Linked DNA regions of Oryza sativa Japonica Group. Each later gene encodes a partner of the first gene's protein in a complex. Links are inferred from orthologs where the notes say so. Each region holds a gene or a part of one and is shown on either strand. Other genes may lie near its edges.

The links.
Region 2: translocase of chloroplast 101, chloroplastic (region 1) and translocase of chloroplast 34, chloroplastic share a complex: the UniProt entries of both Arabidopsis thaliana proteins name them as parts of the TOC core complex. The link is inferred for Oryza sativa Japonica Group from reciprocal best matches to the Arabidopsis thaliana genes TOC159 and TOC34.

Annotation. Positions count from the first base shown.
Region 1 is NC_089039.1:2,993,041-2,996,918, reverse strand, and holds the start of translocase of chloroplast 101, chloroplastic, read left to right. Parts: upstream 1-1,062; 5' UTR 1,063-1,189; coding exon 1,190-2,065; intron 2,066-2,155; coding exon 2,156-3,878. UniProt on the Arabidopsis thaliana protein: GTPase involved in protein precursor import into chloroplasts. Seems to recognize chloroplast-destined precursor proteins and regulate their presentation to the translocation channel through GTP hydrolysis. Required for chloroplast biogenesis.
Region 2 is NC_089037.1:7,484,514-7,488,432, forward strand, and holds the start of translocase of chloroplast 34, chloroplastic, read right to left. Parts: upstream 2,537-3,919; 5' UTR 2,377-2,536; intron 2,272-2,376; 5' UTR 2,226-2,271; coding exon 2,124-2,225; intron 1,956-2,123; coding exon 1,848-1,955; intron 1,760-1,847; coding exon 1,635-1,759; intron 619-1,634; coding exon 354-618; intron 1-353. UniProt on the Arabidopsis thaliana protein: GTPase involved in protein precursor import into chloroplasts. Seems to recognize chloroplast-destined precursor proteins and regulate their presentation to the translocation channel through GTP hydrolysis.

The DNA.
Region 1 (3,878 bases):
GTGGGCTAGGAGTGTAAATTCTTAATTTCAAGATAAATGAAGGTACAATCAAATTTTACCCAAGAAAACATAGTTTCAAAATCATTGGTTTTACCCATAAAAATTCATTGGTTTTATTGATTTCAAAATTTTGTACACTTTTTACTTCAAGGGAATACTGGTCTTTGCTTAAAAGTTAGCTACCACCCTTGACTGTGAATCTGTGATAGCAAAAGAGAGATGAACACTACCACAAGATTAGTAAAAAGAGAAGTGCACATTTCGATCATTTATAGAAGAGATAATGTGTTTCAAACTTCCAATTATCAGTAAAAGCAAAGTCTTCTAGGCAACACCAAAACCATCAAAATCGAAAACCAGTTGGAAGTTGGAACAGGCAAAAAAAAAAATCTAGAGAAGATATTTTTGACACTCCTTCCCTTCAACTACAAGACAAACCAAACCAAAGCCCCACCCTAGCACGAAATCAAAAAAAAAAAGAAACAAAGAACCACACAAACATACAAACAAAGGTAAACGTAAACGCAAAAAAAAATCAAAAAAATTTCACCTTATCGTCACGCTCTCCCTATTTTTTTTCCCCTTTTCTTTGCTTCCTCTCTCGTCTCACCACCACACCCCCGGCGTGTCCGCCGTTCCAAAACCGCACGCCAAAACAGAAAACCAAATATTTGTCTTCACAATAAAAAAAAAACCTTTTTCAATTTTGAGGAGAAGAAAACCAAATCTTTTTCTTCACAACAAAAGAAAAACTTTGTTTCAATTTTGAGGAGAAGTCGAGGGTAAGAAATCGAAGAGCAGACAGCTATATATATATATATATATATATATATATATATATATATATATATATATAAAGAACACACAAAAAAATATTTTTATTCTTTTAGCAAAGGAGAAAAAAATCGAAGAGCATATACTGGTGAGATTAGATATAACTATTTTATTTTCTTCAGAAGAAGAACATTTTCTTTTGTAGGAAAAGCAAAGGGTGAAAAGAAAAATCGAAGAGCATCCCATCCCATCCAGCTATATATAGATTGGGAATTTGGGATTTGATACAAAGTACTAATTTTGAGCCCAACCTAAAACCCTCACCTTATCCTCTCCTCCGATTCCTCCTCCTCCTGCTTCTCTTCTTTGCTTCGCCTTCGCTTTGCTTGTGGTGGCCGGAGCAACAGCCCCGGCCATGGCCTCCACCACCGACGCCGACGCCGCTCCGGTCGCCCCCGTGCTCGAGGAGAAGCCCCCCACCCCGCCGCCTGACGGCGACGAGGTCCCTTCTGCTCCTGCGGCGGCGGCGGCGGCGGAGCAACCCAAGGTAGTCGAGGAGGAGGAGGTGAGATTGGAGGGGAAAGGTGGGGGGTTCGGTGGCCAGGAGGTGGAGGTGGCCGGAGACGGGGAAGATGGCGGCGAGGTGGAGGTGGCGGAGGCTAAGGATGAGGGAGGCGGCGGGGAGTTCGCCGGGGGAGATGCGAAAGCTGCCTCCTCGTTGTTGGCGGCGGCGGCGGAGGAGGAGGAGGAGGAGGAGGCGAGCAACGGCGAATTGGGTGAGGAGGATGCTTATCCGGCTTCCTCCGATGCCGCGGTAGGTGAGGAGAAGGGCGAATTGGGCGAGGAGCCGGAGGAGAAGGCTCCGGCTCTGGCTCCGGAGGCGAATGGCGCCGCCGAATCGGATGTGGAGGAGAAGCCGGAGGAGGATAACGAGGGGGAGGAGGTGGCTACTGGGGGTGGGGATGATGGTGAATTGGGAATGGAGAAAGAGGTTGATGTTTCTGCTGGGGCCGCGGAGGCGCCGCAGCCGGAGGATAAGGTAGCTCCTGAAGCTGAAGCTAATGGAGATTTGGGCGACAAGGCGGAGGAGGAAGCGAGTGCTTCGGCGGCGGTGGAGGTGGTGGAGGAGAGCAATGCTCCAGAAGAATTGTTGGAGAAGGCTGTGGTTTCGGAGGCAAATGGCGTGGCTGCCGCCGTCGAATTGGCTGTGGAGGAGAAGCTAGAGGATAACAAGGGAGAGGAGGAAGAAATGGAGGCGAAGCCTGAGCCAGTAAGCGGGGTGATTCCAGTGGTAATTGATCTTGCTCAGTGTAGTTTTTTTTGTTTCTAAATAGTTTTGATACATACAAGGATGTTGAATTATTCGTATGACCGAATCCAGGTTGTTGACGACACTAGCTCCGAGATGATTGCGCCTGTGAGTGCCGAAAGTGCAGTTGAAGAGAGTACTGAGAAGGAGCAAACTGTTGACGACACTAGCTCCGAGATGATTGCGCATGTGAGTGCCGAAAGTGCAGTTGAAGAGAGTACTGAGAAGGAGCAAACTGTTGAAAGCGAGGCCAGTGAATCTGTGGAGATTGTTGGTGTTGAGAAGCCTACTGAGGATGAGAGTAATGTTGATGGCGGTGCTAGTTCTGTTGTGTCTCGAGAATTGGCTCCAGAGGAAACCAAGGAAAATAATGTTGGTCAGGAGGATGAAGGTGTTGCTGAGGTTATTGACCGTGAAGAAGACGCTGATGATGATGAAGAGATAGTTTTAGCTGCAGCTGATGATGAAGATGATGGTACTAACGAGGCTGATGACGATGAAGATGGAGTGAGCTCTGACAGGGGGCCTGCACGAGTTGCTATTATAGAGAGTTCAGAAGCTGCGAAGCAGATCATGAAGGAGCTTGGGGAAGGTTCTGCTAGTGTTAGTCCTGTATCTGGCTTGAGCAGCTCGAGAGAGTACACTAATAGCATGGATGGGCAGATTGTCCTTGATGATTCTGAGGAGGATGGGGATGATGACGATAATGAAGATGACGATGAGAAGGGGTTTGATTCTGCTGCCTTGGCTGCCCTGCTGAAAGCAGCAACTGGTGCATCTGCAGACGGGAATGTCACAGTTTCTTCCCAAGATGGCTCTAGAATCTTCTCCATGGATCGGCCAGCTGGCCTGGGCTCATCAGCCCCATCTCTCAGGCCAACAGTCCCACGCCCAGTTGCACGGTCAAACCTATTCAGCCCCTCTGAGCTAGCAGTGACTGCTGAGCCTACTGAGGAGATGACGGAGGAAGAGAAGAAGCTGCATGACAAGGTTGAGTTGATCCGAGTAAAGTTTCTGCGCCTTGTCTATAGATTGGGGGCTACTCCTGAAGAAACAGTTGCAGCACAGGTGTTGTACCGTCTGAGCCTTGCTGAGGGTATTCGACACGGAAGGCAGACAAACCGAGCTTTCAGCCTTGACAATGCACGGAAGAAGGCCATGCTGCTTGAAGCGGAGGGAAAAGAGGAGTTGAACTTCTCATGCAACATACTTGTTTTGGGGAAGATAGGGGTCGGAAAAAGTGCAACTATAAATTCAATTTTTGGTGAAGAGAAGTCCAAAACTGATGCTTTCAGTTCAGCCACCAACAGTGTACGGGAGATTGTTGGTAATGTCGATGGTGTCCAGATACGGATCATTGATACTCCAGGCCTTCGACCCAATGTGATGGACCAAGGATCCAACAGAAAAATCCTCGCTTCTGTCAAGAAATATACCAAGAGATGCCCCCCAGATATTGTTCTGTATGTGGACCGCCTGGATAGTCTGAGCCGTGATCTCAATGATTTGCCTCTTCTAAAGACCATTACTTCTGTTCTGGGCTCATCTATATGGTTCAATGCCATTGTTGCTCTCACTCATGCTGCTTCCGCCCCTCCTGAAGGTCTAAATGGTGCCCCTATGACATATGAGGTGCTAATGGCTCAGAGGTCTCACATTATCCAGCAATCCATCAGGCAAGCTGCAGGAGATATGCGGTTGATGAATCCAGTAGCTCTTGTTGAGAACCATCCTTCTTGCAGGAGAAACCGCGAGGGTCAGAAAGTACTTCCAAATGGCCAGAGCTGGAGGCATC
Region 2 (3,919 bases), on another chromosome or scaffold:
TGCAAAATCAGTGACTTCAAAAGATAATTTGATTCATAGAATAATATTAACACATAAATACATAACCTACAGATGAACTGAAGAGAGTGTGTTAGTTACACAGCAAAATAAATAGACCCAAGGAGAAGGGAAATGACAGATTACTATGTGTTCTATTATTCCAGATCAGCAAAGAAACAGCAACAACACAGGACAGAAAATGAATAATTGTTCTGAAAGAGCATGTCAAATAATACACATGAAGAAAAAATATTAGTTTAGACAGAGGAAGCTGCAGATAAATTGCAAAAAAAAAAAAAAAATCTTGATATGCCGATAATACCCATATAAAAGACAAGTGAGGTATACATTACCCCAAGTTCTCGTTTGCTGACTCCTGCACCAGCACGAATGTATCGCAAAAGTGACTCAGATCTTTTTGTAAAGAAATCGTTATAGTCAAGTCCATCAGGTGGTGAGAGCTGAGCATGTGTTAATACAACCAATGTTCTTCGCCAAATGGCCTTTCCAAATGAATTGGTGACAGCTCTAATAACTTGATCATCCAACGTGTCCATTCTGTATGCATCCAATCGATCCACATAAAGGAGGACATCAATAGTCTTGCCCAGAAGAAACCTGCGATACAGTAGATAACACATATGACTTGTATAGGAATAGAACTTTTGAAGACAGCATAATGAAAACTTCGCGAAGGTCAAATTTATGAGCAGCAACCTAAAGAAAAGTTGTGTTGATTCATAATAGTTATTGTTAATAATTAAGAGAATTTTCCTTTTGTCACTCCTTGCAACCTGATTCACTCTCTCTAACATTGTGAGTTGCACTTCTATTTTTCGCCTCCATTACTAGTCATCCATTTCCCTTTTGCATTGATGTGCAGTCAACAGTAGTTAACCAATCAACCATCAGGGTTTGCTCCTAGAGACTATTATACCCTTAGGTCCCCATCGTTTGGCTTATTTCCTAATAAGCCAAAACGGCTTATTAGGAAATAAAAATGAATTTGTGGGTAAAACTTTTATAAATGTGTTCTTTGTGACTTAAAAGCCAATGTTGAAAAAGAAACTACGTTGAAAATATCTCAAAATCAATCTCAAAATTAAGCTTGAAAATTCAAATTTTGGCTTTTTCTTTGGCTTATTAGGCCATCTGATGGGAGCCTTACAGAAACTGGAATATCCAGAAAATCATACAAATATTAAAAAAATAACAAAATTACAAAGCCAACAGGTTATCTTCAGAGTAATGTGAGTATAGTGCACAAAAAAACAGTTTAACATGAATATTGGATCAAGACTCTTCAGACAGCACCCTAGATTCTGTTTGTAAAATCAAGAATAATATAAAATCACCTCCTGTCTCGTTCTTACACCACAGGATGGCAAAGTGGAAACACAAACTAAAACAATGTTTCTGAGATGTGTCGCCCATAAATATGATGCCGATTTCAGTACATAAAAGCTCCTAATTCCAAGAAAATATACTACAGATCGATCCGCCCTTGACCCTAGGTCAAAATGGCAACCTTAGTATGGTTATAGTACCATCTCAAATCCTAAACAAGATGTTGTGGTACATGCAAGCAACTGTATTGATTAAAGACAAGTATCGCTATAACTCAAGATTGGTACCTTTTTATGATCTCAACAGCCTGCTCATTGATGTATCCACCTTCAATGAGCCCAGGAGTGTCAATAATGTTCAAGGTGAAGCCTGCCCTGGTGCGAGAACACATCATCGGCCTGAGACCCTCGGACTGTACAGGAAAACATTCATCAACACACCCATAAGTACGCAACTTCGGTTATGGGCTCAATAGAAATCAGACCTGGAAGAAGCATTACCTGGAAGGCGCTGACAGTAGCGACCCTCTCGCCAACGATGGAGTTGACGGTGGATGACTTCCCCACCCCGCCCTTCCCCATCACCAGAATTGTCAATGTGCTCACATTCTTCATCACAAACAAAGCAGTAAAACATACAATCACATCACAGACGGAGTAACAAAACACACAATTACCACCAGTTACTAACAACGTAAAACAAGAGCGGGATATATATAATCATCGCCAATCCATTAACCAGTCCATAAAAGAAGCGTTTGCATAGGCGTGTAATACCTCCTCCTTGAGCTTGCCGAGGAGCTCGTGCAGCTTGGTCTGGGTAGCCGCCGGAAACTGCTGCAGCCCCACCCACTCGCGGGGTATCGGCGCCGCCGACATATCCGCCCTCACCTTCCTTCCTTCCCTTCCCTTCCCTTCCCTTCCCCTAACACATGGACCAACCAATCAAATCAGAAACCCCGACCCAATTTGGACAGGGCGCAGGGCGGCGGCCGCGAGGACCACGTGGAGACTCGGACGGAATGCTTACCGGGAGATGCGGATGCCGGCGAGAGGCGGGCGGTTATGCCCTAGCGGCGGAGGAGCGGCGGAGGATTTGCGGCGAGGTCGAGGAGGAGGGGCTCGGTGTCGGGGGGGTTTTGGTGAAGGGAAGGGATAAGGAGAGGAGGAGATGAACTTTTCTTTTCTTCACTCTTCCTCTTTTTTTTCTCTTTTTTTTTTCTAGTTTTGTCTTTTGCTTTTTCTTGTGGGCTAAACGGGCTGGGCCTGCGGGCGCTTGTTCTTTTGGTTGGGTTCAGCTCTCTGAGACGACAAGTTAGAGCTGTTTATTTTGGAATTGTTGTTGAGTTGTTGATAAAAAGAGCTGTGGCCTTCTGTTCTACTCATGTAAATCTACTTTATCATACACCTTGAGTGCACATAAGTTTTTTTTATTAAAACCTTGAGTGCACATAAGTTTTTTTTTTGTATTAAAACATTGAATGCAGCAAGTAAAATTGGAAGAATTCCGGTAGCAACGCCTCACGGGAATATGGTTGGGATTTTCAACCTTGGACGTAATTACAAAATCCCAACCTTGATCTGTAATTACGTTATTATTACTCTAGTAGTCTTGGTGCAATACTGCAATTTACCTCTTTTTCTTCGGACGAATACCGGACTACAACTAGGCAAAAGGTTTTATTGACCTGCGGCCCAGTCTAACTAGACCGAGTCGAACGTCCATCTCCGTACAGCCCATCTCTCCATTAGGCCCATTCTGACTCAGATCCGAGACGCGGCCCAAACGGCCACCGGCGACCGCGTCGTGGGAGAATGGCGACGGGCGGTCTACTCGCGGTCGACCAGACTCCGCTCCGCGGTTCGGCTGGCTGGAGCGCGGGCGGCGCGGTGGGGAGAGCCGGGAGTGGATTCTAATCTCTTGAAGGGACATCCCTCGTACATAATTTTTTTTTTCAAATTTAATATAAATAGCTATGAAAATTTCTATAAAAAATTGGCAATGTAAAGTATAATGATACCTACTAGTCCACCAAAATTTATATTCAAATTTGATCTACACATCGAGAAAAAAAAAGGCAAATTTAAATATAAACAGTACGATATTATTCATATGCTGAATTTGTCTTTTTTATATGTCGACGTGTGAGTTGAGTTTGGACTTAAGATTTTATGGAGTTATATATATATATATATATATATATATATATATATATATATATATATATATATATATATATATATATATATATATATGAGACCCATATGGGACTCCATGGTGCCCGGGCCAAGGTATAAAACACACAAATTCTCTCAAATTTTTAAAAATTTTCAAATTGTGAGTATATACCTAGGTATATGAAATTGATTCATACAAATACCTAACAACAAAACAACTCAAACTCAACTTTATTTCACAATTCATTATTACATACCTAATGAATTATATGTTTGGATGTTATATATCTAGAACCAAAATCTAACAAAAAAAAAGTTTAAACTTAGTTCAAACTTGTTTGAACTTGTTAGTAAAGAAGTTAATGTTCATATCTAAACATTTACAAAAAAAAATT